6 linked regions of the Oryctolagus cuniculus genome follow. The protein of the gene in region 2 purifies or fractionates together with the protein of the main gene of each other region. This does not show direct contact. Links are inferred from orthologs where the notes say so. Each region holds a gene or a part of one and is shown on either strand. Other genes may lie near its edges.

The links.
Region 1: the proteins of BACH1 (region 2) and HMMR purify together in Homo sapiens (affinity purification with mass spectrometry; 6 studies listed by BioGRID and IntAct, counting the BioPlex papers as one, with this or other methods). This does not show direct contact. The link is inferred for Oryctolagus cuniculus from reciprocal best matches to the Homo sapiens genes BACH1 and HMMR.
Region 3: the proteins of BACH1 (region 2) and FAM83D purify together in Homo sapiens (co-immunoprecipitation; 3 studies listed by BioGRID and IntAct, counting the BioPlex papers as one, with this or other methods). This does not show direct contact. The link is inferred for Oryctolagus cuniculus from reciprocal best matches to the Homo sapiens genes BACH1 and FAM83D.
Region 4: the proteins of BACH1 (region 2) and MAFF purify together in Homo sapiens (affinity purification with mass spectrometry; 3 studies listed by BioGRID and IntAct, counting the BioPlex papers as one, with this or other methods). This does not show direct contact. The link is inferred for Oryctolagus cuniculus from reciprocal best matches to the Homo sapiens genes BACH1 and MAFF.
Region 5: the proteins of BACH1 (region 2) and MAFG purify together in Homo sapiens (affinity purification with mass spectrometry; 5 studies listed by BioGRID and IntAct, counting the BioPlex papers as one, with this or other methods). This does not show direct contact. The link is inferred for Oryctolagus cuniculus from reciprocal best matches to the Homo sapiens genes BACH1 and MAFG.
Region 6: the proteins of BACH1 (region 2) and MAFK purify together in Homo sapiens (affinity purification with mass spectrometry; 6 studies listed by BioGRID and IntAct, counting the BioPlex papers as one, with this or other methods). This does not show direct contact. The link is inferred for Oryctolagus cuniculus from reciprocal best matches to the Homo sapiens genes BACH1 and MAFK.

The regions. Positions count from the first base shown.
Region 1 is NC_091437.1:50,243,550-50,248,247, reverse strand, and holds the end of HMMR (hyaluronan mediated motility receptor), read right to left. Parts: intron 4,673-4,698; coding exon 4,573-4,672; intron 3,594-4,572; coding exon 3,417-3,593; intron 1,826-3,416; coding exon 1,663-1,825; intron 1,101-1,662; coding exon 1,081-1,100; 3' UTR 965-1,080; downstream 1-964. UniProt on the Homo sapiens protein: Receptor for hyaluronic acid (HA). Involved in cell motility. When hyaluronan binds to HMMR, the phosphorylation of a number of proteins, including PTK2/FAK1 occurs.
Region 2 is NC_091435.1:16,285,961-16,291,018, forward strand, and holds the start of BACH1 (transcription regulator protein BACH1), read right to left. Parts: upstream 2,948-5,058; 5' UTR 2,736-2,947; intron 2,659-2,735; exon of another isoform or gene 2,101-2,658; intron 2,016-2,100; 5' UTR 1,931-2,015; intron 1-1,930. UniProt on the Homo sapiens protein: Transcriptional regulator that acts as a repressor or activator, depending on the context. Binds to NF-E2 DNA binding sites. Plays important roles in coordinating transcription activation and repression by MAFK.
Region 3 is NC_091442.1:19,930,895-19,935,633, reverse strand, and holds the start of FAM83D (protein FAM83D), read left to right. Parts: upstream 1-1,320; 5' UTR 1,321-1,359; coding exon 1,360-1,830; intron 1,831-4,739.
Region 4 is NC_091442.1:114,968,498-114,973,446, reverse strand, and holds the start of MAFF (transcription factor MafF), read right to left. Parts: upstream 3,199-4,949; 5' UTR 3,032-3,198; coding exon 2,946-3,031; intron 12-2,945; coding exon 1-11. UniProt on the Homo sapiens protein: Since they lack a putative transactivation domain, the small Mafs behave as transcriptional repressors when they dimerize among themselves.
Region 5 is NC_091448.1:998,010-1,002,945, forward strand, and holds the start of MAFG (transcription factor MafG), read left to right. Parts: upstream 1-1,867; 5' UTR 1,868-2,065; intron 2,066-2,142; exon of another isoform or gene 2,143-2,387; intron 2,388-2,517; exon of another isoform or gene 2,518-2,982; intron 2,983-4,906; exon of another isoform or gene 4,907-4,936. UniProt on the Homo sapiens protein: Since they lack a putative transactivation domain, the small Mafs behave as transcriptional repressors when they dimerize among themselves.
Region 6 is NC_091450.1:36,677,348-36,682,174, reverse strand, and holds the start of MAFK (transcription factor MafK), read right to left. Parts: upstream 2,966-4,827; 5' UTR 2,770-2,965; intron 2,586-2,769; exon of another isoform or gene 2,248-2,585; intron 1-2,247. UniProt on the Homo sapiens protein: Since they lack a putative transactivation domain, the small Mafs behave as transcriptional repressors when they dimerize among themselves.

The sequences.
Region 1 (4,698 bases), on a different chromosome or scaffold from region 2:
CAGTAGACAAGCAGATGACAAATGGTACATGACAAATTCTCTAAAGAGGTTCCATATACTGGGGCTGTTTGGTAAAGCCGCCACCTGCAATGCTGGCATCCCATACGGGTGCCAGATCGAGTCCCAGATGCCCCACTTCTGACCCAGCTCTCTGCTATGGCCTAAGTCCTCAGGTCCCTGAACTTGTGTGAGAAACTTGGAATAAACTCTTGGTTCCTGACTTTGGATTGAGCCCAGCTCTGGCCACTAAGGCCATTTGGGGAGTGAACCAGCAGATGTAAGCCTCTCTGTAACTCTGCCTTTCAAATAAATAAATCAATTTAAAAAAAAAAAAGACTTCCAGAATCAAGCTAAAAAAATGTGAGATGGAATCATAATCTTGAAACTAAGGCTACTGTCAAGGGGAATAATGAAGATGATTTTCAAAGGAATACTGATTTTGTGGGAAGTAATGTAAGCTAGAAAGTCAGATATACGGCTACAATAAGATGATAAAGATTAGCATTAAGAGGGCAGTATTTATAATAGGAAAAATATAGAAGACATATTGGTTAAAAAATTGAATTTTTTTCACATACTAAGGATAGGCAATTAAAAATTTTTTTAAAAGACTGATTTATTTATTTAAAAGGAAGAGTTACATAGAGGCAGACTCAGAGAGAGATATATCCCATCTGCTGGTTCACTCCCCAAATGGCCACAATGGCCAGAGCTGCATCGATCCGAAGCCAGGAGCCAGGAGCTTCCTCTAGGTCTCTTACGTGGTTGCAGCGTCCCAAGGACTTGGGCCTTCTTCCACTGCTTTCCAAGGCCATAGCAGAGTTGGAACGGTAGTGGAGCAGCCGGGACTGGCATCCATATGGGAACTGACACCCATACGGGATGCCGGCACTGCAGGTGTTGGCTTTACTCACTACACCACAGTGCCGGCCCTGGCAATTAAATGAAATACAAATAAAGCATTTTAAAAAACCCATTAAAATATAATAGTAACAACAATATCATCATCAACAATCAAAATAAAGTAATCTTCAACAGGTTTTTCAGATGTTGCATGATTTCTTGATTCTCCATAGGAGCTCAGCAGCAGTTTGTATTGCCTGGAAGGATATTAGAAAAAATTATCAGTATTTTAAATGAAAACTAACTCCTCAATCATTATAAACTAAGAACAGGCCTCCTGTCTTCTCTAAGGCAGATGAAGCAAGGCTTACATTCTGCAGCATTACTTGTGAATATATTCCTTTATCACTATTTCAACCAGTTTTTATTTGTTGTGAAATAAACAAAGATCCAACATGAGGAAAGAGTAAATCTACTTTTCCAAAAACACAAATTTTAGAAAATGAAGGATGTAGCAGATATACAATAAATAATTAGTTATTACAGAGAGAATAATTTGAGGGAATGTGGGTAGCAAAAAAGTCCTGCAAGCCTTTAAAGAAGATGTAATTTGGGCCTGAAGGACAGGTAGCATTTAGATACAGAGAAAAATAATACAGAGGAGAAAAAAGTTATTGTACAAAACAATTTCAGTAAGAATTTCTTTTATATCAAAAGCTGTCAACAAATTTTCAAAGTTAATAAATGAAGAAGCTGCTAAATGCCATGAAAGGAAATCTAAAGGAAGATGAGACTTTTATGCATTTATTCATTTCTTACCTTCTTTTAATGGAGTTTTCATGGCAAAATTTTCTTTACTTTCATGATGAAAAGCCTTTGAAGGATCAAAGTGTCTGATACCCAGAACTTTATTCAATTCCTCCTGAAGTTTTCTCTCATTTTGTTTTCTTTTAGCAAGCTGAGAGCGCAGTTTTGTTACCTCCTATAAGAGAAATTAAACAAAGAATATTAAAGTTGGTGAACTGTGTTATCATTATTGCAAGGTAAACTCCAAAGTTGTTTATGTATCACACCTAATGGCAAAAATGACTATAACACATAAGCTTTAAGATCTTAAATCTTTTTGTATCTCTGTAAGTACAAAGCTACTTTCTCAAAATGGATCAATAACCTAAATGTAAGATCTAAAACTACAGGCTATTAAACAAATTATGAGTAAGTGTTCATGATCTTTGATTTGGCAAAGGATTTTTAGATACCAAAGTAGCAAAAGAAAAACAAAGATACATTGGAATTCAACAAAATGTTGTGCTTCAAAGGATAACATTAATAAAGTAAAAAGACAGTGCACAGAATGGCAGAAAATATTTGCACATAAGACATGTATATCCAGAATGTATAAAAAACTCTCGCAATTCAACAGTGAAAAGATCAAAGAATACAATTTTTCAAAATGGGCAAAGAATCTGAATAGGCATTCCTCCCAGGAAAATACACAAATGGCTAATAATCAACATCATTTCCATCAGGGAAATTCAAGTGAAAAACTACAATGAAATAGAGCTTTATATCCAGAAGGACAGCTGGAATAAAAAGGTCAAGTAATATCAAATGTTAGTGAGTACATGGAAAACTGGAAACCTTATACCCAGTTTGACAGTTTTCGAATTGATTAAAACTAGTTACCATATGACCTTGCAATTTCAGGCCCAGTTATATACCCCACAGAAATAAAAAAATATGCCCATACAAAAACTTGCACATGAATGTTTATAGTAGCATTATTCAGGACAAAACATGAACACAATTTGAATGTCCAACAATTGACAGATAAATAAAATGCTAAATATTTACACAATGAATTATTGTTTGGCCATAAAAAGGAATGAAGCATGGATACACGCAACAACATGGATGAGCTCTGAAACATCATATTAACTGAACCAAAGCAATCACAAAAGACTATTATTTGAGTCCATGAATATAAAAATGTCTACAATAGGAAATTTGATAAAGATAACTGGCTGCCTAGGGCTGAAGGGTTGGGTAGAATGAGGAGTTAGGAGAATAAAAGGTAAAAGGTACAGAATTTCATTTTAAGGTGATAAAAATACTCTAAATTGACTATGATGATTATTTCACTTATATGACTATAATAAAAACCATAGAATTATATATTTTAAAGGAGTAAATTGTATAGGATGTGAATTAATCTCACAAATTTGTCAGAAAATTTAAATACCTAAGTATTTTTTAATACCGGTTGTCTTAATTGTGATTACATCAAGAAGCTTGCTATTTTGCTAACAGAAATGGATATATAAAGCTTTATGAATTCTTCCCATTACTTTTGTAATTTCAACATACTAAAGAGGTAGTTAAAAAGCTGAGAACACTGAATACTAGTCTGATTGATGCTCTAAAATAAAACCATTAACTCTAGGATCAACTTTCCTCCATAAACTACTTTTTTCTGATATAAAAGATGTTCATTTTAATAAGTTTTATAAATAGTTAAATTAATAAAATCCCCATCCCAGTATCTTTCAAAAAATAAATACTACTTTACAAACCGATTTTAGTTGGCTATTTTCATCTTTCAGTTTCACAACATGCTTGATTTTTTGCTTCAGATTCTGATGACCCAATAATGTAGCGTATGAATCTCTTAATTTATTTAGCTGTTCCTGAGCTGCACCATGTTCACTCAACAATGCCTGTTTCTCTGCTTCAAATGCATCCAGCTGTAGCTAGAAGAGATTATAAAGTTAAGACCAGAACTGTTAAACAAAAATCCTAAACTGTTAAATCTTATTAGTTTCATATAATCCATAAAAAATCTAAAGAGAATTTTAAAAACCTAAAATGGAAGATACATACATTTTCTCAGGGCTCTCTACAGCTTCTCTAAGAAAATCTTAAATATACTATTTTTCATTTTACAGCTCCCTACTAATGCACCTGGGGAAGCAGCAGATGATAGCCCAAGTCCTTGGGTCCCTGCACCCACGTGGGAGACTTGGAAGAAGCTCCTTACTCCTAGTTTCAGATTGGCTCAGTTCCAGCATTGCAGCCATTTGGGGACGGAACCAGCAGAAAGATGACTTCTCTCTCTCATCTCTACCTCTCTATAACTGTCTTTTAAATCATTTATTAATCTTTTTTTTTTTTTGACAGGCAGAGTGGACAGTGAGAGAGAGAGAAAGAGAGAAAGGTCTTCCTTTGCCGTTGGTTCACCCTCCAATGGCCGCCGTGGCCGGCGCACCGCACTGATCCGATGGCAGGAGCCAGGTGCTTCTCCTGGTCTCCCATGGGGTTCAGGGCTCAAGCACTTGGGCCATCCTCCACTGCACTCCCTGGCCACAGCAGAGAGCTGGCCTGGAAGAGGGGCAACCGGGACAGAATCCGGTGCCCCGACCAGGACTAGAACCCGGTGTGCCAGTGCCGTAAGGCGGAGGATTAGCCTAGTGAGCCGCGGCGCCGGCTTAAATCATTTATTAAAAAAAGAAATTTATGTCCATTAAACTTACCAATTATAGTTCAATGAAGGTGGAGAAAATTTATGTATAATCTAATAAAAATCATAAAACCTTAATTGAAAGTTAAATGTGCACTGAAAATACAGAACAAAATGTTATTGCAGGAAAGCAAGTCACTGTCATGACTATAAGGGAGAACAAAGTAAACTCCTAAAATAAGCAGAAGTGGGTTTAATCTTAAATGACAAACCTGAAAAGGTTTTGTTTTCTTGTACAATTCTTCATAAAGGAGACGCCACTTATTAACTTCCTCAGTTAATTCTTCCATTATATTTTCTTTTTCAGCTTTCCTATATAACAAAGTTATATTTTAAAA
Region 2 (5,058 bases):
AGAATGTAATAAATTCACACTCAAGAGGGAACTGTTTTTACAATTCTATCTACAAAGCACGCTGAATCTCTTAAAAACTAATTAAAAATTAAAAAAAAGAAAATGTAATTTGAAGGCAAATTAATAGCTACGCTGACTGCTAAATTAAAAAACCTTCATGTGTCAAAAAAAATTACACTCAAGCTTCTAATTTTAAAGCACAATATAAAAGTAACAGAATTACATTGATAAAAATTGCCCTTAAGAAGAAATCAGAAGTTTTTTAAAAAAGTACAGCTGTTAAAAAATGTTATTGGCAATGGATAACAAGTATGAGCAGAAAAGGGTAGAGGGGATGTACCTTCACTATGTAATACTCAAGTACTGTTAATCTGTATCTTTCATGTCTTCCTTATTTTATAGAAAAGTTTTAAAAAGCAAAGTTTTAATAGCTTCTTCTTAATTTTACCACCTTGCACTCTTCATTAGAGACCCTAAAAATTCATTTATAATCTTCTCTAGTCCCAAATTTAAACAAAATTAATTTTTTCTAATACAAAATGTTTTAAATGAAAACTACCTACTATAAGAACTCATCATTCTTTTGACATGAGGTTAAGAACCAAACCCTCACCTCCATATTTCCCATTCCTAAACTTTGTCCACACTGAGGAAAGTTATGCTTGGGTTATGTGGTTACTTTTAAGCAAGAAACAATGACACGCAATGTAAAGACACTAGTACTATCTTTCAAGAGAATGAGACACATAAGTATGATCTGACTTTCATTAGACAACTGTCTAGCCTTGACTGTACCAGACATGTTAAATCCACCCACATTCACATTACCCTCCTGATACCAAAAAACTACTCCTGTATTCATGAAAAGCCAAGAGTCATGAAAAACAAGAGGAAAACTCCCTTTTGTGTTAGCATAAAGAAACTTTCATGAAGAACCAATTAAGTTCATGTTTTGAAATGTTAAAGACCATACAACAAGAGGAAATAAAAAACTAAGTACAGTATTGTTTATTGTATCAAATATTTATTGCCTGCAAATATTTACTGCCTGCAAATTTCTGCCCCAGTTTTAGCTCTTTCTCCAGTACAAATTCATTCTCAGTCAGATCTCGCAGCTGTTCTTGGTCTAAACACCTCAGTGCTACCTGGCCACTTCCTAAGAGTGCTCCTGCACTTCCCCAGCTAATTACATGTATCAGAACAGACAACCACTGAGTCCCCTTCAGCCTTCTGAAGCAATCCCTCTCAGTGCTCCTTGGCCTTTTATAGTGGAGGCATGTGATGAGCCTATCTGCACCAGCTGTTCCTAATTACCTCTCTGGCTCGGGTGAATGACTCAGCAACACAACTTTTTTAAAGAGTCATCCTACCTCATTATCCAACCAACATACTGAACAAAGGTAAACCGCTTGACAGAACCTTATGTTAAACAACAACAAAACAAGATGCAGGCACTACCCCAAAGCCACCCTACTCCAAGATGACTCACAGCAGCCTTTTTTCCTAGGTTTCCTTAAGATGTCCAATGGCAGAAGTGACAAGTGCCTTCAAACCAAACCCAGCCCAGCCCAGCCCAGCCCAGCCCAGCCCAGCCCAGCCCTTGCACCACTACCCTGAGACCAGGAAGAAGCAAGCTGACAGCTCTTCCCATTTCTTTGCTCGGCCATGTGACACGTTCAAATGCTCTGCCTCCCTAGAATTTCCACCCTTGATCTTTCCAAACAGCCTCAAATGCAAACCCTGTGGAATGTAATAAGCGTCCACTAGACGAACAAAGACCTAGTAGTGGCATCCTCCATGGGTAACAGTTCCAACACAGATATAAATTCTCCAAACTATCAGCATCCTACAAAGTCTTTGTTCCTCCAAAGACGACATGGTAGCTTGATTTTCCCACACAGGCTCCTCCACAATTACTACTACACTTTACCTTGAATCCGCCCAAGTTGAACGCAGAAAGAGGGCTCATGGTACAAACGCATGCCGCACAATTCTATTCAATGACATGAGCCTGCCTGGAGAGAGAGAGAAAGCCACGGCGTTCGTGATGCATTACAGGAGCACAAAGCCGGTGTCTCTACAATCAACACCCACTCTCACCATGTTGTGAGAGTCCCCATTACGACGAGCGGGCAAAACGCCAACAATGGGAGCCCTGAGACCTCCAATCCCCAAAACCAATTTCCCCAGACGCAGGTTAGACCAGGTGATCTTCCCGCTCTGGCCACCGTTCGGCCTTTCCGACGCGATGACCCGCGCGACCCACACCCAGCTGGGAGGGCGAAACGCCGCCCGGCGCGGGGGACGCTGCGGAGGCGCTGGGAGTGGGCAGAGGGCAGGACGGGGCCCGGGCCGTGAGGGCGGTGCTGATGTGTCACAGCCAGGGCGGGCCGCGGGCTGGGGCGCCGGGTGGGCTCCGACCCGGGGACCGAGGGGCCGGGGAGGGGCGGCAGGCGCCCGGGACCCCGCGGCGCGCGCGAGCGCCCGCCCGGGGGTAAAGTGCAGCGCGCGCCGGTAAACAACAGCGCTGGCCGCCTCAAGAGCCACGGGCACCCACGGACGCCCCTTCCGGTGGACGCGGCCACTTCCAGGAACGGGGCCGCAGCCGCTCCCGGCCCCGCGACCCACCACCACCACCAGAAAACAGCCGCCGGAGGCCCCCTCGGCGCCTCCCCTCACAGGCCCAGGCCGCGACCCTCCCGGGGCAGGGCGAGCAGGCCGGCCAAGCCACTCACCAGAGCCGGAGCGCGGCGCGGCCCGTCTGACGGCAGCGAGCGAGGCAGGCGGGTGGCGCGGGCAGCGGTCAGGTGACTCACTCCCTCCGCGCGGCCGGTGGCCCCGTCTCCTCCCGTACCGTCCCCTCCCCTCTCCTCGGCTCGGAAGCCGCGGCTGCAGCCGTCCCGAGGCTCCCAGACCCCGCCCGCCTGGCCTCGCGAGGCCCCGCCCCGCCCCGCTGAAGCCCCGCCCCGCCCCTCCCGCCAGGCCTGGCGAGGCACGCCCTCCTCGTGAGGCCACGCCCTCCTCGTGAGGCCACTCCCACCGCGCCTAAGTCCCGCCCGCACTTGGAGCCCCGCCCTGCGGCTCCGGAGGCCTGGGCAGGGGACCCGGGGAACCGCGGATCAGGAAAGCCCGCTCTGGGAGCCCCAGGGAGGGCTGCGCCGGCCATCTGACGAGCGGATCCCGGCCGGCCTGGGAGCGGCAGCGGCTCGGGTCCCCCACCTTCGCGTGCCCAGCCCCCTACGAGGACCACTCCTTTCCTGAGGGCAGAGGGAAAGGGGGCGGCCCCCTCAGCCCGAGTGGTGTCCGGACGCCCGGAGGCCGTCACGGCGCCTGGAGCTCCGGGTTCCCGCGCCCTGCGGGAGTGAGAGCGGGCGCCCCTCCCCAGAGCCGCACAGGGGTCGTGGCTGAGGAAGCCCTCGGGGTGGCAGGCGCCCAGATTCGCCAGGTGTGGGATCCTGCCGATCGGGAAGAAGCAAGTACATCCGGGATATTGTAGAAGGCGTCTGGCAGCCCTGGCTTGAATGAGAACAAGGGCATCCGCTAACAGGTGTTCCCTTTTCACCACGACTGCCAGGAAACTTCCAGCCAGGTTCGGTGCCAGCGGTGTCAGCGGGCCCGGCTCGAGCTCTGGTTGCGCTTTCATCCCTTGATGCTTATTGTGGTGTGTATCCAATTGTCACCTTTAAAATTATGTTCCCAAGCCATTTAACACCTCTGGAGCTGAAAGCCTGGGCCCTGCAGAGCGCACATGGCAAAGCTTATCCATGTCGGAAGAGAGGGGATTGTGCCAGCCAACTCCATAATAGAGTTCCTGGAGAGATGGCACTCAACCGGAGGCCTGCAGCCCTCGAAGGATCTGTCTGAAAGGATTTTGTTGTTGGCTTTTCACTTCTAATGGAGAAGGAGAGATGGGAAAACTTGGTGGCTCAACTGGCAGCAGCTCCAGAAAGTGTGGACTTATTTCTTGAATTCAGTAAGACAGCCCTGGAGCAACATGGCAGAAAAAAAAAAAAAAAAAAAAACTTACCACAATAATGAATTCATGTATTATTATTAACAAAACTGCAGGGCTGTACCCACAGTCTGCAGGACTTAGGGACATTCGCATTATATTCGAAATACACGAGAAAATGACAGAAATTGAATGCGAGTACAAATGGTAAAATGATACACTATGGCTTGGATATCAGGGAGAGATTCCCAGAGGAGTAACATTTGTGTTGTGTCTTAATGGTCATGTGTGAGACCCAGCTGTCCAGGGAGGAGGCAGATGGCATTCCAGGCTACCTGAGTTCATGGTAGCTGTGCAGATATTTAACAAGAAATAAGGAAAGGACAGCTGGAAGTAGACCATGAAAGAAGGATTGGGGTTCTTATAAATCATGTGAGGGTTTTTGAGGCTTCACTTTTCTTCCACGTTGAGCCAGTGTAACTACATTCTGCCTCCCACACCTATGCAGTTTCTTCAACAAGGAACACACCCTCCTCTTTGGGAGGGCCTCTTATTTCCTTAGTGGACATACAAATGAATACCAAGTTTTGACACTATCAAGGCAACTAGGAGTGACTCTCAAACTGCTACATGCTTAAGAATAAAATATCTGGGTGCTCACTAAAATGCAGCTTCCTGGGCCCTGCCTCAAAGATCCTGCTATCATAGGTCTGGATGGTACCCAAGGCATCTTTCTAGAAATCATTTTTATTGTTTATTTGGAAGACAAGAGAGAAACAGATCTCCCATCTGCTGATTCACTTTCCAAATTGTCAGCCACAACTAGGCCTGTACCATGCTGAAGCCAGAAGCCTGGAACACTATCCAAGTCTGCCAAGTGAGCGTGAAAGGGACTCAACCACTTGAGCCATCATCCTGTGCTACATATTAGCAGGAAGCTAGAATCTGGAACCCAGACTCAAACCCAGGCACTCTGATGGATGCATTGTCTTAACTGCGAGGCCAAACACCTGACCAAGACATGCTTTTTTAATACTGATGCTGATGATTTTCAGATCACAATGAAGAAGTACTGAGGTAGAGCTTTTGGTATGCAGTAAAGACAG
Region 3 (4,739 bases), on a different chromosome or scaffold from region 2:
GTGATCATGGAAGCCCCTCGGATTTAGGAAGCGCTTACAGCCCTGTGTGCACGAGCTCACTGACACACAGACCAGGCCCGCAAGCTGCTGGGTTTGGCACTTGGAGCTCCTGGTGACCCTGGCAGATGTTTTGGTGGGACAGGGGGTGTTCGCCTCAGTGGAGGGGTTCATGAAAGGCCCGGGGCAAACCTGGAGACCGGCAAGTGTGCACACCCGGCTGAGGTTTTATGCCAAAGTGGCAGAGAAGTGGGGAGGTAGCTCTCAAGGCAGGTCTCAAGAGGAGTGTTGTAAGGTGAAACTGCTGCAGCCTGCTTGCGCGCTGATAGGAAGGAGTGAGGAGATAGACGATTGATTGATTGATTGATTGGACCACATTTAGCCGTGGAGGGGCTGGAAGCTCCCGCTGGGGTGGAGGGGGTGGAGCTTGGAAGGCTCAGGCACAGTCCACCCATGGAGACCCGAGGCGGTCAGACTGTGGGCAGGGAAGAGACAGGGAGACCTTGGATGTGGCCTTCTGACTGCGGCTGCTTCCTCAGTGTTAGGAAAAGCAAGGCTCCGAGAGCAAGGCGAGAAGACAGCCGGAGAGGGAAAGATGGGCGGCCGGGCAACCTTGGGGCTACTGGAAATCGTGACTCGGATGCACTGTGGTTCTGGAGCCTGGAATGGCTGCTTTGGGGCAGGTGGAAAGCACGCGGAAATTAGTTAACAGGCAAAGAACATTGGCGTTAGCCGCCAGAGGGTGTCGTCGAGGAAGTAATGACCACGACGGACCGGTATTAAAAAAAAAAAAAATAGGTGAACACTTAAACGCAAGGGATACAGTCGTTTGGCCACACTCGGCTCAGTGTCCGGGGAGCAGGCTCCGGGCCTCTCCTCCCCACCCGGGGCTTGCGGGGCCGCGCGGAAGGGCGGCCGCCAGGAGGCGCGCTGGGATGGCCGAGGACCCAGCTCCCGGGCCTCACTGCCCGCGCCGCCACCCGAGGTTGTAAGGCTGCTCAAGGCCGGCCGCTGTCCCCGCCTAACCGCAGAGCTTGGAGTCCCAGCAGGCCCGGCTATGTCCAGCCAGCGCCGCGGAGCCCGGTTTAAAAACCACTCAGCAGTCCTCGCAGCGACTCCAAGGGGCTGGCGAAACCCACAGCCAATCCGGTGCTGAAGCCCTGGGGCAGCCAATGGCACGCCGCGGGGCGGGACCGTGACGGCGAGCGCCCCGCCCCGCCCCACCATTGGAGTAATTCAGCCAATGAGAGAGCCGGGGCGGGGCACCGCGGCCAATGGCGCGGGCCGGTTTGATTCAAAGGTGCTTATAAAGCGAGCCCATAGCCAGGCTCTAGTCCGAGCGTGGTCCGTGGGAACGGTGCGATGGCTCTGCGGTGCGAGGTCCTGGACGAGCTGCCCGCGGCCTGCCTGTCGCCGTGCGGGCCGCCCAACCCCGCCGAGCTGTTCAGTGAGGCGCGGCGCCTGGCGCTCGAGGAACTGGTGGCGGGCGGCCCCGACGCCTTCTCGGCCTTCCTGCGACGCGAGCGCCTGGGCCGCTTCCTGAACGCCGACGAGGTGCGCGACATCCTGGGCGCCGCCGAGCGGCCCGGCGAGGAGGCCGCGGCGGCCGAGGACTCGTTCGGCTCGTCGCACGACTGCTCGTCGGGCACCTACTTCCCCGAGCAGTCGGACCTGGAGCCGCCGCTGCTGGAGCTCGGCTGGCCCGCCTTCTACCAGGGCGCCTACCGCGGCGCCACGCGCGTCGAGGCGCACTTCCAGCCCCGCGGCGCGGGCGACCGCGGCCCCTACGGCTGCAAGGACGCGCTGCGCCAGCAGCTCCGGTCGGCGCGAGAGGTGAGCGGCCCCGTCCGGGTCGGACGGGAGACCCTCGTCGAGGCCTGCCGGGAGCGCGGGCGGAGCCCTCTGACCCCTGGTGCTTCCCGGGTCCTCTGCTCTCCGCACGCTGCGTGTCTCCCCTCGGGTCTGGGATCCCCCCTCTGTCACTCCCTGTGACTTGTGCCGGGGTTCCAACTCCCAATACTCAGTGTCCCCTGGGAGCGGGACCAGAAATCATCTCAATTCCAGGCGTCAGTTAAAAGCGAAACATTATCAGCGTTCCCAGCGGTCAGCCGACACTAGGTCCCATCCCCGTGACCGAAGACGGTCCATCCCTAGGGGAAAGTTCCTGAGAGGTGGCCGCCAGAGGCAACTTATGTTGTGGGAAGCAGACGATGCGAAAGTGGCACAGAGAGGAGAGGGGGAGGTTGCCCCTTCTGGATGAGTGGGGAACGGGTTGCTTTTCCGTGGGCTGGAGCGGTTCCCGTTAGCATGACCCCCGATGGGCCCGTCTGAGCGCGGTGGGTTTTGGCCCTGCTGCCTGACACTGGCAGGGTAGCCAGGTGCTGCGGCAGATCTCGGCGGCCTGCAGGCCAGGATGATGCCCCCGCCGGGCGCTGGGGGTCAGGGAGGGAAAATGCAGTGAGCAAGTGGGTGTGGCAGTGGACGCCTCGGTCCAGAGCCCCTCAGTTTGCTTGCTGGCCCGCAGATGCCCAGCTACTGGCTGAGCTGGAGGCCTGGTGGGTAAAGCTGTAGGCCATGATAAGGCCTGGTACCAGGGTGTGTCTGTGGGTGAAGAGATCAGCATCAAGTCAGGTGGAGGTAGCCACGGCCCAGAACAAGCCCCGATTCTCACCAGTGTTCCTGGTGGTGGCTGACCCGCGGGGTTGGCCATAGTGACCTGGTGTCTTACTTGGAGGGGAGTGGGTGGGGGCTGCAGCGAGGCTGGGGTCGGCTCTTTGACACTGTGGGTGGCCTGAGGGTCCTTTGCTTTGGATGCTGCAGACGTTTTCATTGTGGGTTCAGTAAAAAGGTGTTTTTTTGTTTTGTTTTGTTTTGGTTTGGTTTTTTTTTTAAAGACAGGATTCTGGGGCAGGTGTGCAATCCCGAAGCTCACCTCCAGGAGGAGGCCTTGAGCACTTGGAAGTTGAGACTAGTTACCAATGGACGTCCTTATGAATAGATTGCTTGCCTTTTGCCTTTTGCCCAGCCCCAGATTTTAGTTGTAGTGAAGGGGCAGTGGAGCCAGAGGGAACCAGTGTCTTAAACTCACATGCTGGCCTCCGGAGGGGCTGGAGCCCGGACCTCCGCTTCCTGTGTCCATCTGTGGTGCTTTCCTCTGTTCTGTGCCCACCCCAGCTGCCTACCCTGCTCTCTCTCCAGCATGCTGCCCGTGGATGCTGCGTGTTGCCCCAGGGAGAAGTGGCTCATTCTTTACTTTCAGTGCACTGTGTGTGTGTGTGTGTGTGTGTGTGTTGGTGTTTGCCCTGTGCCAAAGTACTTGGCTTTTCAGTGCCTGCTGTGTGTCGGACGCCGCTGGGGCATGGGCCACAGCGGGAGGCATCAGCCCGCGTGCGCTAGGGAGTGGACAGTGTGCAGGTGGGCAGCAGGGAGGAGGTGGCTCCAGGCAGCGGGGGAGGGCCTGAAAGGTCTCAGGAGTGGAAACCCTGGAGCTGGGTGCAGGAGGAGGGGTGGGAGCAGAGGACCTGGTGCCTGTGGGAGCGGTGGGATTCCCAGGCATGGAGCGGAGAGTGGGTGAGGGCAGGGTTAGTGGGGGGGGGGCTGGAGCTAGACTGTGGAGGGTGAGGGGTGTGTGTAGGAGGGTGGATTGGATGGGGGTGAGGCTGCTGTCCAGGACAGCTGGAGGCAACCGCGGGAGTCCTGCATGAGAGGAGGGGCTGCACTGAGGCCTTGTGGGCAGGCAGAGTTTTGGGTGGAATTGGCCGGACTTGGCTGTGAAAGAGTGGGAGCGGGCCGGAGAGCAGGCAGGGCTGGGAGAGGAAGGCCCAGGAAGGGTAGAGGAGGACTGGGGTGGTTCCCACTGGTATGTGGAAGGAGAGCGACCCAGGGGAGTGACGCTGAGAAGATGAGCTGGATGGGGAGGGGGACATCTTGTTTGTTAAAATAAGTGACAACACGGGCCGGCGCCGCGGCTCACTAGGCTAATCCTCCGCCTTGCGGCGCCGGCACACCGGGTTCTAGTCCCGGTTGGGGTGCCGGATTCTGTCCCGGTTGCCCCTCTTCCAGGCCAGCTCTCTGCTGTGGCCAGGGAGTGCAGCGGAGGATGGCCCAGGTGCTTGGGCCCTGCACCCCATGGGAGACCAGGAAAAGCACCTGGCTCCTGGCTCCTGCCATCGGATCAGCGCGGTGCGCCGGCCGCAGCGCGCCGGCCGCGGCGGCCATTGGAAGGTGAACCAACGGCAAAGGAAGACCTTTCTCTCTGTCTCTCTCTCTCACTGTCCACTCTGCCTGTCAAAAAAAAAAAAAAAAAAAGTGACAACTGCTTTCTGTCTGCCACACGCCGTGCTAAGTCACCGAGACAGGCGCAATGAATCTGCATCTTACAGACGATGGCACCAAGGCTTAGAGAAGTTAGGTTGCCAAGGCTGTGCAGCAGGGAATGCTGGATCCGGAACCTCCGTGGAGGCAGGGTCTCTCACCCACCTTGTGCCCCGTGCTCCAGGAGCTCCTCCTGGGGTGGAGAGGGTGATAGAGGCTTCCGCTGGCGGCTGCTCAGGCGGCGCCACACTCTGTAAAGGCGTGCGTAATGTACGCGGAGCCGCTGGGTCACTCCTTTGCCATCCAGTCCGTGGGACAGTGAGGACCACGATGGTGCAGATGAGAAGCCCTCCGCGTGAAGGCCAGGGTGCCCCCTGGTGGCGTGATGGCGCACTTCCAGGTGGCCGGCTGTCGTGCTAAGCCCTTAG
Region 4 (4,949 bases), on a different chromosome or scaffold from region 2:
GGGCTGGAGACCTAGGGGAGAAAGGAGGCCACCAGTTGTTTTTTGCTCCCCACTTAGAGTAAAATCCAACTCCTCCCTTAGCATTCGGAGCCCCTGCTGTGTTGGAGCGCACGCCCAGCCCCTTCCTCTGCACACTGGCCCAGCCACATGCTGTCCCCCGGCCTCCTCAGAGGGACCCTCTACCACTCAGGCCCGAGCCCAGGGTCGCCTCCTCGGGGAGGTCTTCCCTGGCCGCGGGGCTGAAGCGCCCCTGTGTCACTCGCTGCACCTGTGCACTGAGTGGTTTTGTGGTTCGTCTCTCTCCATCCGTTTTCCTAGGAGGGCAGAGGCTTTGCCTGTCTCACCACACGTCGATACGCCTGACTCCGGGGCAGTGCAGAGCAGGCGCCCCACAAACCCACAGCTCACAAGTGGGCACTCCTGCCCCGGCCCAGCTGTGATCTGACTTGATTTCTGCAAGTTCTCCGGGGCCAGCGCTGTGGCGTAGCCGGTAAAGCTGTCACCTGCAGTGCCAGCATCCCACATGGGCGCAGGTTCAAGTCCCGGCTGCTCCACTTCCGATCCAGCTCTCTGCTATGGCCTGGGAAAGCAGTGGAAGATGGCCCAAGTCCTTGGGCCCCTGCACCCGCGTGGGAGACCTGGAGGAAGCTCCTGGCTCCTGGCTTCAGATCGGCACAGCTCCGCTGTTGCAGTCAACTGGGGAGTGAACCAGCAGATGGAAGACCTCTCTCCCTCTCTCCCTCTCTCCCTCTCTGCCTCTCTGCCTCTCTGCCTTTCCTTGGCTCTCTGTGTGACTCTTTCAAATAAATAAATTAAAAAAAAAAGTTTTCCTTCAAGTATAACCTACATACAGAGAAGTACACATAACACACGTATAGCCAAGGACTTCACAATGTCCCCAGCACCCCATGGACACAGCGCGGGGCCAGTCCCCAGCCCTCCCCAAGCACAGGGGGCGTGGCCCAGCAGGGCCCCAGGCAGCGGGGCCCCAGGTGTGGCAGCAGCTGTTTGCCCAGGCGTGCACCTGGCACTGGGGGCGCAGAGGTTTATAAACACTCGAGGACGGCACCTGCCGGGGTCAGCGGTCACTGCTCTGGGACAGGCAAGGCCTCCCAAGGCCCCTTGAAAGCAGCTACCCTGTCCCTGCCTGGTGACCAGGCCTCCTGCGGTGTGACCCGAGCGCGCTCCTGGGCCAACCCCCGTGAGGAGTGGGAGAACACCAGGAAGCTGCCTGGTGACTGGAAGCCCGGCGTCCTAGACGCTGTCATTACAAGACCCCAGGAGCTGGAGGCAGGGCGTGAAGGGCCGGGGACAGGCCCTGGCTCCCTGACACGGCCGGCAGGACCCGCATGTGTGCTGGGGACCCTGGAGGAATGCAAGAGCAACAGGCCCTGGCCCGCACACGCCGGGGCTTGTGGAGGGCGGCCCGCAGAGCTCTCTGCACCACGTGCCGCCCCGCGTGTGACCCAGGGCGGCACGTCCATCAGGGCAGCTGTCCTCTCCCAGCAGCCTCCACGGCGCCCATCCCAGTGGTCTCCACGGCCGCAGCGGTGCGCCCCAGCACTGGCTGCTCCTCCAAGGGACCAGGGAGCTCCCTCCGCCCGGCATGCCTGCTCCCGGGACAGCCACGGAGCTTGCTTCAGATCCCATGTTCCCAGCCACTGGTGCCCACGGCGCGTGCACACACACAGCCTGTCTCCCTCCCCAGCCTCGGGTTTCTCTAGAGCACCGTGGGCGTCGCTGATGACCGATCCTCCTGCGTGTTGCGTCTGTGGAATGGAGGTCCTGTGGCCCACAGCTGCCTCCCGGGGCTTGGGGCAGGGGCCTGCCAGCCCCTCCCCGCCCACACGGCCAGGGGGTCCAGCAGCTCCAGGGAAAGGAGGAGCGGTTCAGGGGCGGGAAGCTGGCACCCACAGGGATCTCAGGCCAGCGGGCTCTAGGGACTTCCCGTGTGGTGGCCAGGAGGGGCGAGGCCCAGGGTCCCAGGCCAGCGCTCAGCAGCCGTGGTGTCCTGTGCGGCTCCCCGGTGGGGAAGGCCTGCTTCCTGGTGGAGCTCTGAGCTGTAGCCCTCACTGCTGAACAAGTGGGCTCCGCCTGGGCCCGGGCCTCAGTTTCCCTGCCTAGCCCCTCCAGTCCCTGTGGGCTCGGGCCTGGCTTGCCCAGCAAGCTGTCTCTGGAGGCCTCCATGCCTGCCCCCTCACTATCCCTCCTGCCTGGCCCAATCATATGGACCCCACACTGCCCTGACCAGTCACTGACATGTCCAGACCCCGCCCTCCGCCACCCTGCCCGTCAGAGCCACACACGGCCCTGCCACATAGTGCCCCAGGGAGCTTCCTGCCCTGTGAACCCTCCTGTGCCACCACCAGACTAGAACCTGCTGTGGCTCCCACTGTCCTGAGGCCAGAGGCCGGCCCATCCCCAGGCTAGTGCACAGCCTCAACTGTGCACCCCAGCCATGTGGATGTCTTCCTCTGACCCCACCCGGGCACTCCCCCCCCCCTCCTCTGTCGGGCAGGCTCCTCTTCATCCTTGTGCCCTCCTCCTCCTCCTCCTCCAGGAAGCCCTCCCTGACCTTTAGGCCTTGTTAGGCACCACCCCCCACCTCCACCCCCCTCTCCCCACCACACAGCCATGGGCTGTTTCCTTGTCTCTCCACCAGGCAGGGAGCTCCAGGGGCTGAACCAGGATGGCTGGCTGGGCGGAGTCACTGACACCGTCACCCAGCTGGTCAGCGTCCAGGCCTGGCCAGACACAGTCTGCGAGAAAACCTCAGGCCAGCCCCCAGTTCCTCCTCCTTCCCATCTGTGTCCCTTCCGAGGGGTAGAGACGGCACACGGGTGGGGCGGGGGGCGGGGCACGGCAAGGGAGCAAGGTGGGGAGTGGGAGACGGAAAGAGCACTGAGTGGGGGCACGCCCTGTCCGTCTTCTCCAGGCCACCTGACCTTGGCCGAGACTCCACCTCTCCGGGTGTCCACTCTCCTCTGCGCGGTACCTGCCTGGCAGGTTCTGGTGGAGCGGAGGGGTGCATGCAGTGGCGGTCAGCCAGCGCCCGGGAGGGCAGGAAAGCGAGAATCCGAGCTGCCGGAGCCGGGGCCACAGCCAGCCCTGGCAGCGCTCTGCCTCAGCAGCTCCCAGCTGCCCGGGGCCAGCCCAGGGACGGCCCTTACAGCCCTAGGCCCCACCTCCTCACTCCCCCAGGGGGCGGCGGAGACCCAGAGAGGCCATCGCTTGCCTGAAGTCCCGTGGGCACCTGTGAGGCCTGGACTGAGTGCCGGCTCCTCTGACGACTGTGACTTGATGCCTGGCAGCCCCCTGGGCCACACAGCCAGCACGGGGTGGAGTTCAGGACGGGGTTCATGTGAGGTTCAGGACGGAGGCCACCCTGGTGCCCACTGCCGGGCTTCGAGGGGCCAGGCTTTGGGCGGGGCCTGCCAGGACACCCGCATCCGGCTGCACAGAGGGGCCGGCCGCGAGGGGACCCCTGATGATGGGGTGATCCCTGATGATAGGCACAGCGCGGAGACACTGGCAGGGGCCACACGCTCAGGAGCCGCGAGTGGCTGGCTCGCCCACCACACCCCTCTCCCCCGCCCCTGCCCACTCATGGCTCATCAAGCCCACACGTACTCCCAGGAAGTGACACAGAGCCTCTGAGTCCTTCTCAACACAGCCCTGCCTGCCCCTCTCGCTGCTGGGGCTGGCTGGGACACGGACCCCAGGAAGTCCTCCGCACTCCCCTCCAGCCCGTCGGCTCCCGCAGGCCCCCGTGCCCAGGGGATGTCACGGAGGGAAAGTCACAGAGGGAAAGTCCCACAGGCTGCCGCGCTGTGCTGGGAGCCCTGGAGCCTGGGGCTTCCGGCCCTGCCGGCCTGGGGCTTGCACAGCAGCAGAGCCGGCCTCGGCCGGGTGGCTGCGGGTGGCAGTGGGGGACTGGCGCCCCGGGGCCTGCTCCCACCCCGGCCAGCGCTCTCTCAGGGCCTCCCTTCCTGGCCTCTTCTCTTCCCTCGGAGGCCGGCAGAACCCCTCCCAGGGTCTGCAGGTTCCTAACCTTCTTTGGAGGCCTGGGGAGTGAGCTTTCTCTTGGGGACTGACAGAGGCCTCGCCCAATCAGCAGCCAGCGGCTCTCGCGCGCAGCCCCGTCCCCGGCCCCCAGGCCCACCCCAGAGACAGCCTGGAGACGGCCCACCCACTGGCACGGCTCCTCCTGGCTGCCGAGCCATTCCGCTTGCGCGCTGTGAGGACACAGGGAAAAAATGTGTTTTCCTGGGTCTTGGCAGCTGGCGCTGGGGGCACTCCTCCCTGCTGGAAGGGGAGCAGGGCAGGGGGAACCAAGCACAGCAGGGAAGTGACGGCGGGTGGCTCCAGCCCGGGCTCTGCCCCCCACTCACATCCCGGCCTCCCCTCCCCGGCATGCCGACCGCCCCTCAGCCTGAGGTCCCGTTCCCACAGTAATGGCCTCCAAGCTAGTGGTATCCTCGGAGCACCAAGACCACCAGCGGAGGAAGGCCTGGGAGGAGGGTAAGGAAATCAGTGCAGGATTCCTGGAGGCGGGGGCGTGACAACACAAACTCCTAGCCCCTTCTGCGCTTGCACAGCCAGAGACCACTTCTCCTTTCGGATGGCCCAGGACCACAGCCGCCTCCACCTCCACGCCCTGTCCTCCTCGGGAGCTGTCAGGAGGACTGACACAGACCCACACCGCTGCCCGGCTGCCCCCCGCTCCAGCCCATACAGGCCAGGCTCTCCGCCTGCTCCCAGGATCTCAGGCTAACATCAGCTGAATGAATGGGCATACATCCTGTGTGCGTGTTCCCCAGACACATGGCAGCGTGTGTGCGTGCGTGTGTGCATGCGTGTGTGCGTATGTGTGTACGTGCATGAGTGTGTGTGCGTATGCACATGTGTGTGCGTGTGTGCATGCGCGTGTGTATGTGTGTGCATGCATG
Region 5 (4,936 bases), on a different chromosome or scaffold from region 2:
TGTGTCCCTGGAGGACCCAGCGGAGGGGGTGAAGGCCTCCCACCCTGAAGCCGCTCACAGGGACGCCTGCGTGGACAGCGAGGCTCCAGGCCCCTGTGCGGGAAGGGCCGCTCTGGACAGAACAGCCCCGGGCCGGCCTTGTGCAGAGGGCGGTGCTGGCACCCCGTGGCCAAGGGCTGGGGGTCCCCACGGTGCTGCTTCTGATCCAGCTCCCACCTAATGCACCTGGGAAAGCAGCGAGTAATGGCCAAGTGCCCCTGCCGCCACGTGGGAGACCCAGACGAAGTCCCGGGATCCTGGCTTCGGCCTGGCCCAGCGCTGGCCGTGTGGCTGTCTGGGGAGTGAACCAGCAGATGGAAGACCTCTCTCCCTCTCTGCCTGTCAGACAGCTTTCAACAACAGCAATTCAGCCTCATCTGCCGTGGCCCAAACGCTGCTGCCCCCGTATTTCAGGGACAAGTGTCCAGGACCCTGTGTGGGGAGTCTGCCAGGGGGTTCTGGGACAGATGAGAGGACGTGCGTGGCTGGGCCCCCTGGGCCCTGGAGCTGCACCGGAGTCAGGTCCCGGCTGCCTGGGCCATTCCAGTGACAGGACACGAGCCCCCCACCCAGCACCGCACAGGACAGCTGGACCCCTGCACCCGAAGAGCTGCCCCCTCACAGGACAGAGCGTGGGCACCTGCCCCTCTCTTGTCTGCTCTCAGAACTGACCCCAGGGCCCAGGGCTTCTCTCTCTATAGGAAGCAGTCCCAGTACCTACGGCCCCCACTGGCCTCGCCCGTGGCCCCGGGTGGCCACACCCATGCCTGCCTGTTGCGGCTGCTGAGTGGGGGTGGGTGTGTGGGGGTGGGGAGTGGACGGACGTCCATCAGCAAAACTGAGTGGGAGATGAGATGAGTTTCCCAGGCATCTCCCACGCACTGGACGGCGGCAGGGGAGGGCGAGCTGCCTGGGTGGTCAGCAGTGATGGCCCCCGGCCCCAGGACCAGGCGTCCTGGTCCAGCGTCTCCCAGCACAGAGGAGCGAGGGCACACCCGGCTCTCCGTCACGACTAGCCCCCTGCCCTCGACCTCGGGCCTCAGACCAGCGGCCACGGAGCTCCGATTCCCACCGCGAACCCGGCTCAGGGCTGCCCCGCCCCCCGGAGCCTGGACCCAGCGTCCAGGAGGGGTGAGGAGCAAGCTCTGAGACCAGGGACGCACTCGTGGGGTGAGTCGCTGCGTTTTCTACGGAAAAACCCGAGGCTTTACAAGTCGCGCCGTCCCGCGTGGACACCCCACCCCGCCAGGAACCCCGCGCAGCCCCGCACAGCAGCTCCAGGTCCTCCTGTGGGCCCCTCCGCGGCGCCCTCACCTCCTCACCTGCCTGGCTGTGCACCTGAGCAGGGAACAGGGCCGAGAGCGCGCCCCCACCCCGCCGCGCGGCGACTTCCTGGGGGAACGATCGGCGGCGGGGGCGGACGCGGACCCGGGGGCCGGCTTCAGACAGGTGCCGGCGGCCCGGGGGACGGCCCGCGCCGTCCACTCCTGGCGGGCGCACCGCGGGGCCGGGACCTGGGCCCTGCACCCCCGGGGTCGGTCTGCACCCGGACCTCGGACTAGGGCCTCCCGCGCGCTCGCACCGCGCCGCGGCGGGGGCGTGGTCCGGCCAGGGCGCGCGCCCGGACAGTCCCGCGAGCCCCCGACGCGGCCCGGGCGCGGCGCGCGTTGCCAGGGGCGACGGCGCCCGGGCTGCGCAGGCGCAGGGCGACGCGCCCCGCCGCCGCCGCCGCCGCCGCCGCGCCTTCCCCTTTAAGCTCCGGCCGGCCGCGTCGCCGCTTCATGAATGGAGCCCACGTGACCAAACATCATGTGACGTCTGTGGAGCGGCGGCGGCGGCGGCGGCGGCGGATCCCGAGCCTGGTCCGGCCCGGCCTTCGCAGAGCGCTCGGCCCGGCGCGCGAGGCGGCGAGACCCCCCCCGAGCCACGGGCCCGGACCCCCGGCGCCCGCCCCAGCTCCGCGCGGCCTCGGAGCGCGCGCGGCTCCGCCCCGGCCCCGGCCTCGGCCCGCCGGGCCCGCAGTGTGGTGAGTGTGGCGGGCCGGGCGGCGGGGGCGGCGGCGGGGCCCGCGCCGGGGCGGGGCCGTGGCCTGGGCGCGCCGCGCGCCCTCCGGCGGGCCGGGCCTCGCCTTCCCCTGCCGTCGGGAGCCGGGCTGCGGCCCCGGCCGCGGGTGCCCGGGCGCACCGCCGGCGGCGCGGCGGCGCGGCGGCGCGGGCGGGGCGTGCGCGGAGCCCGCTCGGCGGAGGCCGGGACGTCCCGGGGCGAGGCGCGGCGGCGGCCGGGGGGAGGGCGGGGCCGGGCGCGGCCGGGGGCGCGGGGGCGCGGGGGCGCGGCCGCCGGCTCCTCAGGTGTGTGGCGGCCGCTGGCGGCGCGCGGGGCCCCGGCGGCCGGGCGGGGGCGGCGGGAAGACCCTGCCCGCGGGCCCGGGCTCGGCTCGCGTGCCAGCGCCGCGACCTGCTGAGTCATCAGCATGAGGTCACTCGGAGCTGCTGCTGGCGCGGGGACTGGGCGCGGGGCCTCGGGACTGGAGGGGCCGGCCCGTGGCGGGGGAGGCACACGTGAGGATGAGCGCGAGGCCGGCGTGGCCAGGCGGAGGCCGAGGCCGCGTTGCGGGCTTCCTGCGGGGCAGAAGTCGAGCCCCTGGCGAGATCGGCCCTGGGCCCACGTTCGGGGCAGTCCCCCAAACTGATAAACAGCTGGGGGTGACGGGAGGGGAGGGGTCTGGTGGGCCGAGCTGGCGGCTGGAAGCCCCTGGATGGGCAGCCCCTGGCGTCAGAAGAAAGAGGAGTGAGCGTGGGGCCGCAGGGGCGGCGGCGGGCAGGGAGCAGGCAGCAGGACTTCGCAGGGCAGCCAGCGCGCTGTCGCGGCCGGGTCCGCTGGCCCTGGGCTGGGGCGAGGCTGCACGCGACAGGAGCTCAGGATGCGTCCTTTGGGGTGCAGCAGGTGGGTTAGTGTGGACGCACAGGCGGGAGAATCGGGTCCCAGACACCCAGGGGTTGTCCCCGGCGAGGAGGGGTCCCAGCATGGAGTGTGCTGAGCCAGTGTGGTGTCTCCGCTGTCTGGACCGGCGGCTAAGAGGCCAAAGGGTGGTGTGGCCGCGGTGGGGGCTGGGGGCCAGGGAGGTGGACAGAGCTCACCTTCCCACTGCTTCCCTTGCCCTGGGTTCGTGGCCGTCGCGTGGTCGCACCCAGACACCGCGCAGCTTCCTCGGGGCTTCTCCGGCACGGGTGCTCTGGCGTGAATGGAGCCGCAGGACTCGGGTCGGGGTCGCAGAGCGTCGGGCGGCCTGCCTGGGACTTGTGGCCGCTGGGGTGTGCCGGGCAAGGGTGCCCAGGGGAGCTGGTCCTGGAGGAAGGGCCGGAGCTGCCCTTTCCTCTCCTAGCTCTCAGCTGAGTGGGTGGCCCAGGGTCCCCCGTGGGTCAGGCAGCAGGGGACAGCGGCTCTAGCTCTGAGCAGCCCTCAGGACGGAGAGGATGGGCTGGGGGGGCTTCCACTCAGTGCAGCCTCCGGGACCCCCCCTCTGGCTGGGACAGGTGCCCCGAGCCAGCCTTCTCCGCCATCCCCAGGGGCCGCCTCTGCCCGGAAGGCTGGAAGCGCCGGCTTTGCCGAGGCCCTCCCCCACGGCGTGGGTGCCTGCACACGCACACGCACACGCACACGCACACGCGTGCACACCTTTGATCGGAAGGCGCCTGGCTGCACTGTGCTGAGCTCAGGCCTTCTGCAGAGGGCGGAATCTGTTGAGGAGGCACTTTTCCCAGCCCAGCGCCGCGCTCGGCACTTTTCTGTGTGGTCCCCTCAGGAAGCCACCGCTGTCATTGTGCGGTCGTGGGGGGAGGGACACCCCCGTGCCCAGGCAGCAGTGAGGGCCCGTCTCCTGGTGGGCCGGGGCCGGCTTGCGGGCCTCCTGACCTCCAGCTGTGGGCACCCCATCCCCATCCTTCTTGGGGTCCCGCCTCCTGGCTCGGCCCCACCCTGCCTCCTGGCTGCAGCCTGCCTCCTGGCCAGGCCTGGCTCCTGTGGGGTCTCCACCCTGGGAACATGGGCCGCCTGGCCAGCCACACTGTGGTTCCCCGGGTGGGTGAGCCGGCCAGGAGACTGTGGCCTTTCTCCCCGTCCACCTGTTTACCTGCCTGCATCTAACCTGCAGAGCAGTGGGAGGGGCGGGCTCCGGGAGGGGTTCCTGGGGTGGGAGCTTCAGGTTCCTGGCAGGGGTTCAGAGAGCGGACAGTGCAGGGTGGTGCTCGAGGGGCAGCTGGCGGGGGAGCGGTCTGGGCACTGGGCTGTGGGTGCAGGCCCAGGCAGGGGACCACAGAGCAGTCAGTGACTGCCACCTGCCTGTCAGTGAGCAGGCCCCGGGGCCCTTGTGAAACACCCTGGCCAGGGTGGGGCAGGGGCGCAGGAAGCTGCAACCCAAAGCCACACGGTGGTTACTCCACGGGCCGGGAGGCGGCCAGAGCGGGCTGGAGGGGCCCTCGGGCCAGGCTCTCAGTCGGGTTGCCTGCTGCTTCCAAGGTGTGGGGCTCCCCAGCTCTTCCCGCCATGGGAGCCGGGGCCAGCTAGATGACTCGCTCCCAGCTGGAGGGCCCCGGGAAACTGGGAGACCCCTCACCCTGCTGTCTGCCCCAGTTCCCGGTGGGGACAGCAGGGGCTTTGTCCCGGGCTGGCGCAGGGGAGGCCGCTGTGGGAGGTAGGACCTTAGGATGCACAGGCAGGCGCCCCCACCTGCTATGGCCCCCCAGCCCCCCTGGCCCCAGCAGCGGGGCTCCTGGGCGGCTGTTGGCTGGCGGCCTCGGGAGTGCCGGCGGCGAGGGCGGGCGGCCGCGATGTGCTGAGTCAGCGTGACTGGCCAGGAACAGCCGTGCTCCGGGGCAGCGCTGGGGTTATTTTTAAAGCT
Region 6 (4,827 bases), on a different chromosome or scaffold from region 2:
CTCGGGGATGGGCGACGCCCGCCAGGAGCCTGTCCGGCACCGGCACCGCAGACTCACAACACCTGTCGGGCGACTCCTGCGTGGGTTTTAAACCCACAGCCAGAAACTCTCGTGAGCCATCCAGCCCCAGCGCCGCGGGAAGAGTGGCTTCCTCTCAAAGGATGTGCCGGCGCCCGCCCGGGGCCGCGGCAGAGAGGCCGGGCAAGTGCAGGGACAGTGATGCGGCCGGGGGCTCCTGGGGGCAGGGACCCGCTCCGCAGAGGCCAGCACTCAGGCCCCCGGAGTCCCCGAGCCGCACAGGGCTCCAAGCCTCCCTCGTCAGTGACCGGCTACGCCCTCTCCTGCCTGCTGCCGAAGCTCTGGCTCTGGTCCGGGGCTGCGACCCACGCCCGGTCCCACCTGCCCCGTCCTGCCCGCGGGCGTCCAGTGGGGGGCGAGGAGGCGGGACCGGGAGCGGCAGTCAAGACCCAGGCAGCAACCGTGACAGATGCAAATCCACACACGGAGGATGTGGCCGCCCCGGCGCGGAAGCTGGGGCCACACACACTTGTCAAGTAAACACGTCAGCCAATCGCAGCCGCAGCTGGGGCCACAGACACGCTGACTCGCACCCCACTGAAGACGAGGCCCCACCGCAGAGACACCCGCTGCCCCTGCCCTGGACACGGCCCTCTGCGGGCGGGATGTGTCCACGGTGCCCCCCAGCATGGCCCTCTGCGGGTGGGATGTGTCCACGGTGCCCCCCAGCACCCAGCCTGGCCCTGGCCACGGCCCCTCTGTGGGCAGGTGGGATGTGTCCATGGTGTCTCCCAGCCTGGCCCTGGCCACGGCCCCTCTGTGGGCAGGTGGGATGTGTCCATGGTGCCCCCCAGCCTGGCCCTGGACATGGCCCCTCTGTGGGCAGGTGGGATGTGTCCATGGTGCCCCCCAGCCTGGCCCTGGCCACGGCCCCTCTATGAGCAGGTGGGATGTGTCCATGGTGCCCCCCAGCACGGCCCTGGACATGGCCCCTCTGTGGGTGGGTGGGAGGTGCCCACTGTACCCCCCCAGCACCCCAGCCTGGCCGGGACACGGCCCCTCTGTGGGCAGGTGGGAGGTGCCCACCGTACTCCCCCAGCACCCCAGCCTGGCCGGGACACGGCCCCTCTGTGGGCAGGTGGGAGGTGCCCACTGTACCCCCCCAGCACCCCAGCCTGGCCGGGACACGGCCCCTCGGCGGGCAGGTGCCCGCAGTGCCCCCAGCCGGCAGCCCCGGACCTGTAGGATGTCCAGTCGCCTTGATCTGGGCTGAGGAAGCTGCTACATGCAGAGGTGCGTGGGGATGAGGCTGACACAGCCCCGCTCACGGAGCCGGCCCTCTGCTGGCCACCCAGGCGCTTCAGCAAGGCCCCAAGCTCCGTGGTCAGCCGGGGACGCGCCCTGGGAAAGCACACACAGCCCCGGCCCGCCTCCCTCACCTGTGTGCAGCTCGCGTAAGGGCACCCCACCCCAGGGCACCCGCTGCACCGCACAGCCTCGCCCTCAGCCTGACCCCGGGCTCTCCCCTGTCTGTGTGCTGACCCAGACTCCGTGACCTCGCCCCCAAGGGGCAGCTGCCCCGCTCAGCCCCAGCCCTGAGCTGCACGTGGGTGGGTCCCTCCTGACAGCTCCCAGGTGCACCGGGCACCAGCCCTCCCCCAACGCTGCTTCTTCCAGAAGGTTCTCCCCACTACCTTCCTCGTGGGAGGCACCTGCTCTCCCCCAAGACCCCACGGAGCTGAGCCGGCGGCGAGAACAGGCGGGCGAGCCTGGCAGGGGGCGAGGGGACCCCGCGGCCCGGGGTGGCGCCCCACCCCCACCCCCACCCCCACCCCCACCCCCACCTGCCCTGCACTGTCAGATAACTTCCCGCTTCCTGCAGCTCAGAAAGAGGAAACGGAGGCCGGCTCGCAGCCCCCCGTGCGTGCGTGCGGGAGCGGCGCCTCCCATCCAGGCGGGCGGAGCGCGTGAGTCACTGTTTACTGCCCGGGAGAGCGCTCCCAGCTGGCCCGATCGCCACTTCCCGTGCGGACTGCACCCGGAACCCAGAAAGTCCACTCCAGGAACCTTTAGACCCGGAGCCGCCGGGCCGCCAACAGGCACGGCTTCTTCTGGGTCCGCGGCGACAGCTTCGCCCCAGGCTGTAAACCGACTCCCGCCGTCCCGGGCGCCCGCGGCCTCACCGGGGCCGCTCCCTGGGATCCTGGCCCCCGGGACTGCCTTACTGACCGTTCTACTGCGGGCCGGGTCCTCGGGGCAGGCCCCCTCGGGCATTCCCACCAGGAGGTCCTCCCCCGAGCCGTGCCCCGCAGGTGCGTCCCGCCCACCTGCGCGGCCCCCAGACCCCACCCACCGGCCGGGCCGACACCTATGTAAGAGCTCCCGGGCGCCGCCGCACCTGACCAGGACTTACCGTGTCCTGTCGGGGCCAGACACTTGCCGGAGCTCGGGTCCGAGTCTGCCGGGGCACGTGGCGAGGGCGAGGCGCGCCTGGCCCCGCTCCGCGACGGCAGACACCTGCCGCCCCCGGACCACGCGGTCGCGGCCCCGCACCCGCACGTGGCGGCCCCGCGCGCCGCCGTCCCGCCCCGCAGGTGCTAGGGCCCCGGCCGGGCCTGGGTCCGCGCCCCCGGCTCTCAGCGCCGGGCCCGGGCGGGCGCGCGGGCCCCGGCAGCCGTGACTCCGCGGCCGCGTGGCTCCGAGCGCCCCCCGCCCCCCACGGGCCCCGCGCCCCGCGCCCGCCGCGCTCACCTGGCTCGCGCGGGCGGGCGCGCGGCGGCTCCTCGCGGGCACGCGCTCTCTTCGCGCTCGCGCTCACTCCCGTGCTCCCCCTCGGCCGCCGCCGCCTCGCGCTCGGGCTCCGACTTCGCGAAGAACAACAAGTTCCCCCCCCGCGCCCGCCGCCCGCGCGCCGCCGGCTCCCAGCATCTGACACCGCTTCCGGGATCGCGTCGGCGCGCGTCACGCCGCGGCCCCGCCCCACCCGCAGGCCCCGCCCCCGGCCGGCCCCGCCCCCTCGCCGGCCCCGCCCCGTGGTGCGCGGACGACGAGTCCCATCACGGCCCCGCCCCCAGACCGCGACCCTTTCCTCCCACGCTCGCGTCTCCAGGCCCCGCCCTCGCCGGCCCCGCCCCGGCCCGCAGGCCCCGCCCCCGGACGGCCACACCCCCAGAAAGCGACCTTCCCTCCCGGCCCCGCCCCCTCCTCGGCCCCGCCCCCGGCTGCTCCTGTGGCGCGCACCTGAGCGGGGCACCTGCGCTCCTTCCTCTGCAGAGTCGGGGTGCGGGGGGAGACCCTGAACGACGATGGCGTCCCGCACCCCATATTCCGCATGCCCCGCGTGCGGTCTGTGCCTCAGGTCACACCTGCGGGGAGCCCCCGCCGCCCACCTGTTCGCTGCAGGGGGTCCCTGCTGGGTCCCAGGTGCGCTGGGGCGAGCGCAGGGTCACAGCTGCCACTCCACAGCACAGGTATAGAGGCCGGACGACCCCCCGCGGGCCGCAGCACAGGGTCGGGAGGACCAGCTTTCCTCCATGGACGCGGCCCTAGGCGGAGGGGGCAGCTGGGGGCACAGACCCCATGTAGGCCCTCGCGAGGTAGGCACCAGGTGAGGTCGGGGTGGCCCTGGTCCCCAGATCCCGTGAGTACAGCAATCCGCAGGTGGGGGTGGCCCTGGGCCGGGGGCTTCAGCAGCTGCCATGGCCAGGGGGCCTGCCCGCTCTGAGAACCAGCTCCCCCCGGTGAGGGGGGCCAGGGCTGGTGGAGAGGGGACCGAGTGGAACACCCCTGCGTGCCGGAGGTGACCAGGCCGCCATGCTTCCCATGGGCACACTGGTGCTTGAGTGCCCCGGGTCTGGCAGGCCGGTCTCTGCGGGCTGCACGGGCAGCTGGACGAGAGCAGGAGGGAGTGAGGCCTCCTGAGCCTGGGTGTGGGGTCGCCGGGTTCCGATACCGGCCCCCGCTCCGGTCAGCCCTGGCCGCTGCAGACATGGGGGAGCTGACCGGACGCCCTCACTGCCCCTGCGCCATTGCCTGCTCCCCAGGCCACGGCAGGTGCCTCCTCTCAGGCGGGCAGGTGTCCGGCCTGGCCTCGTGCCCTGCTCTCCGTTTGCCAGGAAGCAGCCGCAGCCCGGGGTCTTGCCGGGGTTTGGGAGGGGCCGGGGCCGCTCTGCCTGCTTTTGTCCCTCACCTGGAAGCCAGCGAGAGGCCCAGGTTTGCGCTTGGAGAGGGGTGGTCCTGAGACCCCTTGGCCCGGAGAGCCAGGGAGTGGATCCGGCTTCTGTGTGGCCTGGGGTGAGTCAGCCGCCACCTCTGAGCATCTCCCAGTCCCTAAGTGGGGGTCAGAGGGGGACGTTGGGGTGGGGGTTGTGGCGCTGCCACCTGGACCTCCTCAGGTTCCAGCCCAGGCCCGGAGGGAGCTCCCGGCTACTGCACCCAGCCCGGGAGGCGGCCGATGTCCCTGACATCCCAGTGGGAGCCCGGGGGCAGGGAACCAGCAGCTGAGAAATCTCTCTCTCTCTCTCCCAGGGGAGGCTCCCTGCACCGTTCCCCTGGCTGGTATTGGACCAGGCGTCTGAGCCCGCCCCCCAACCGCGCAGACACCGCGGGAAAGGGTGGGCCCTGCGCACGGGCGCTTGCAGCCTGCTTGGCGGTCATGGCTCAGGGCCCTGGGCCCCGGTGGCCGTGCTCAGAGCGGCCGGATTCCTTTCCGGAAGGGCCTGTAGCCACACGGATAAGGCGACCACAGCCCTCCGGGGCCGGGCCCCGAGCCTGGCAGGGAGCTGCGGTTCGGCCATGCCCGGTGACGCG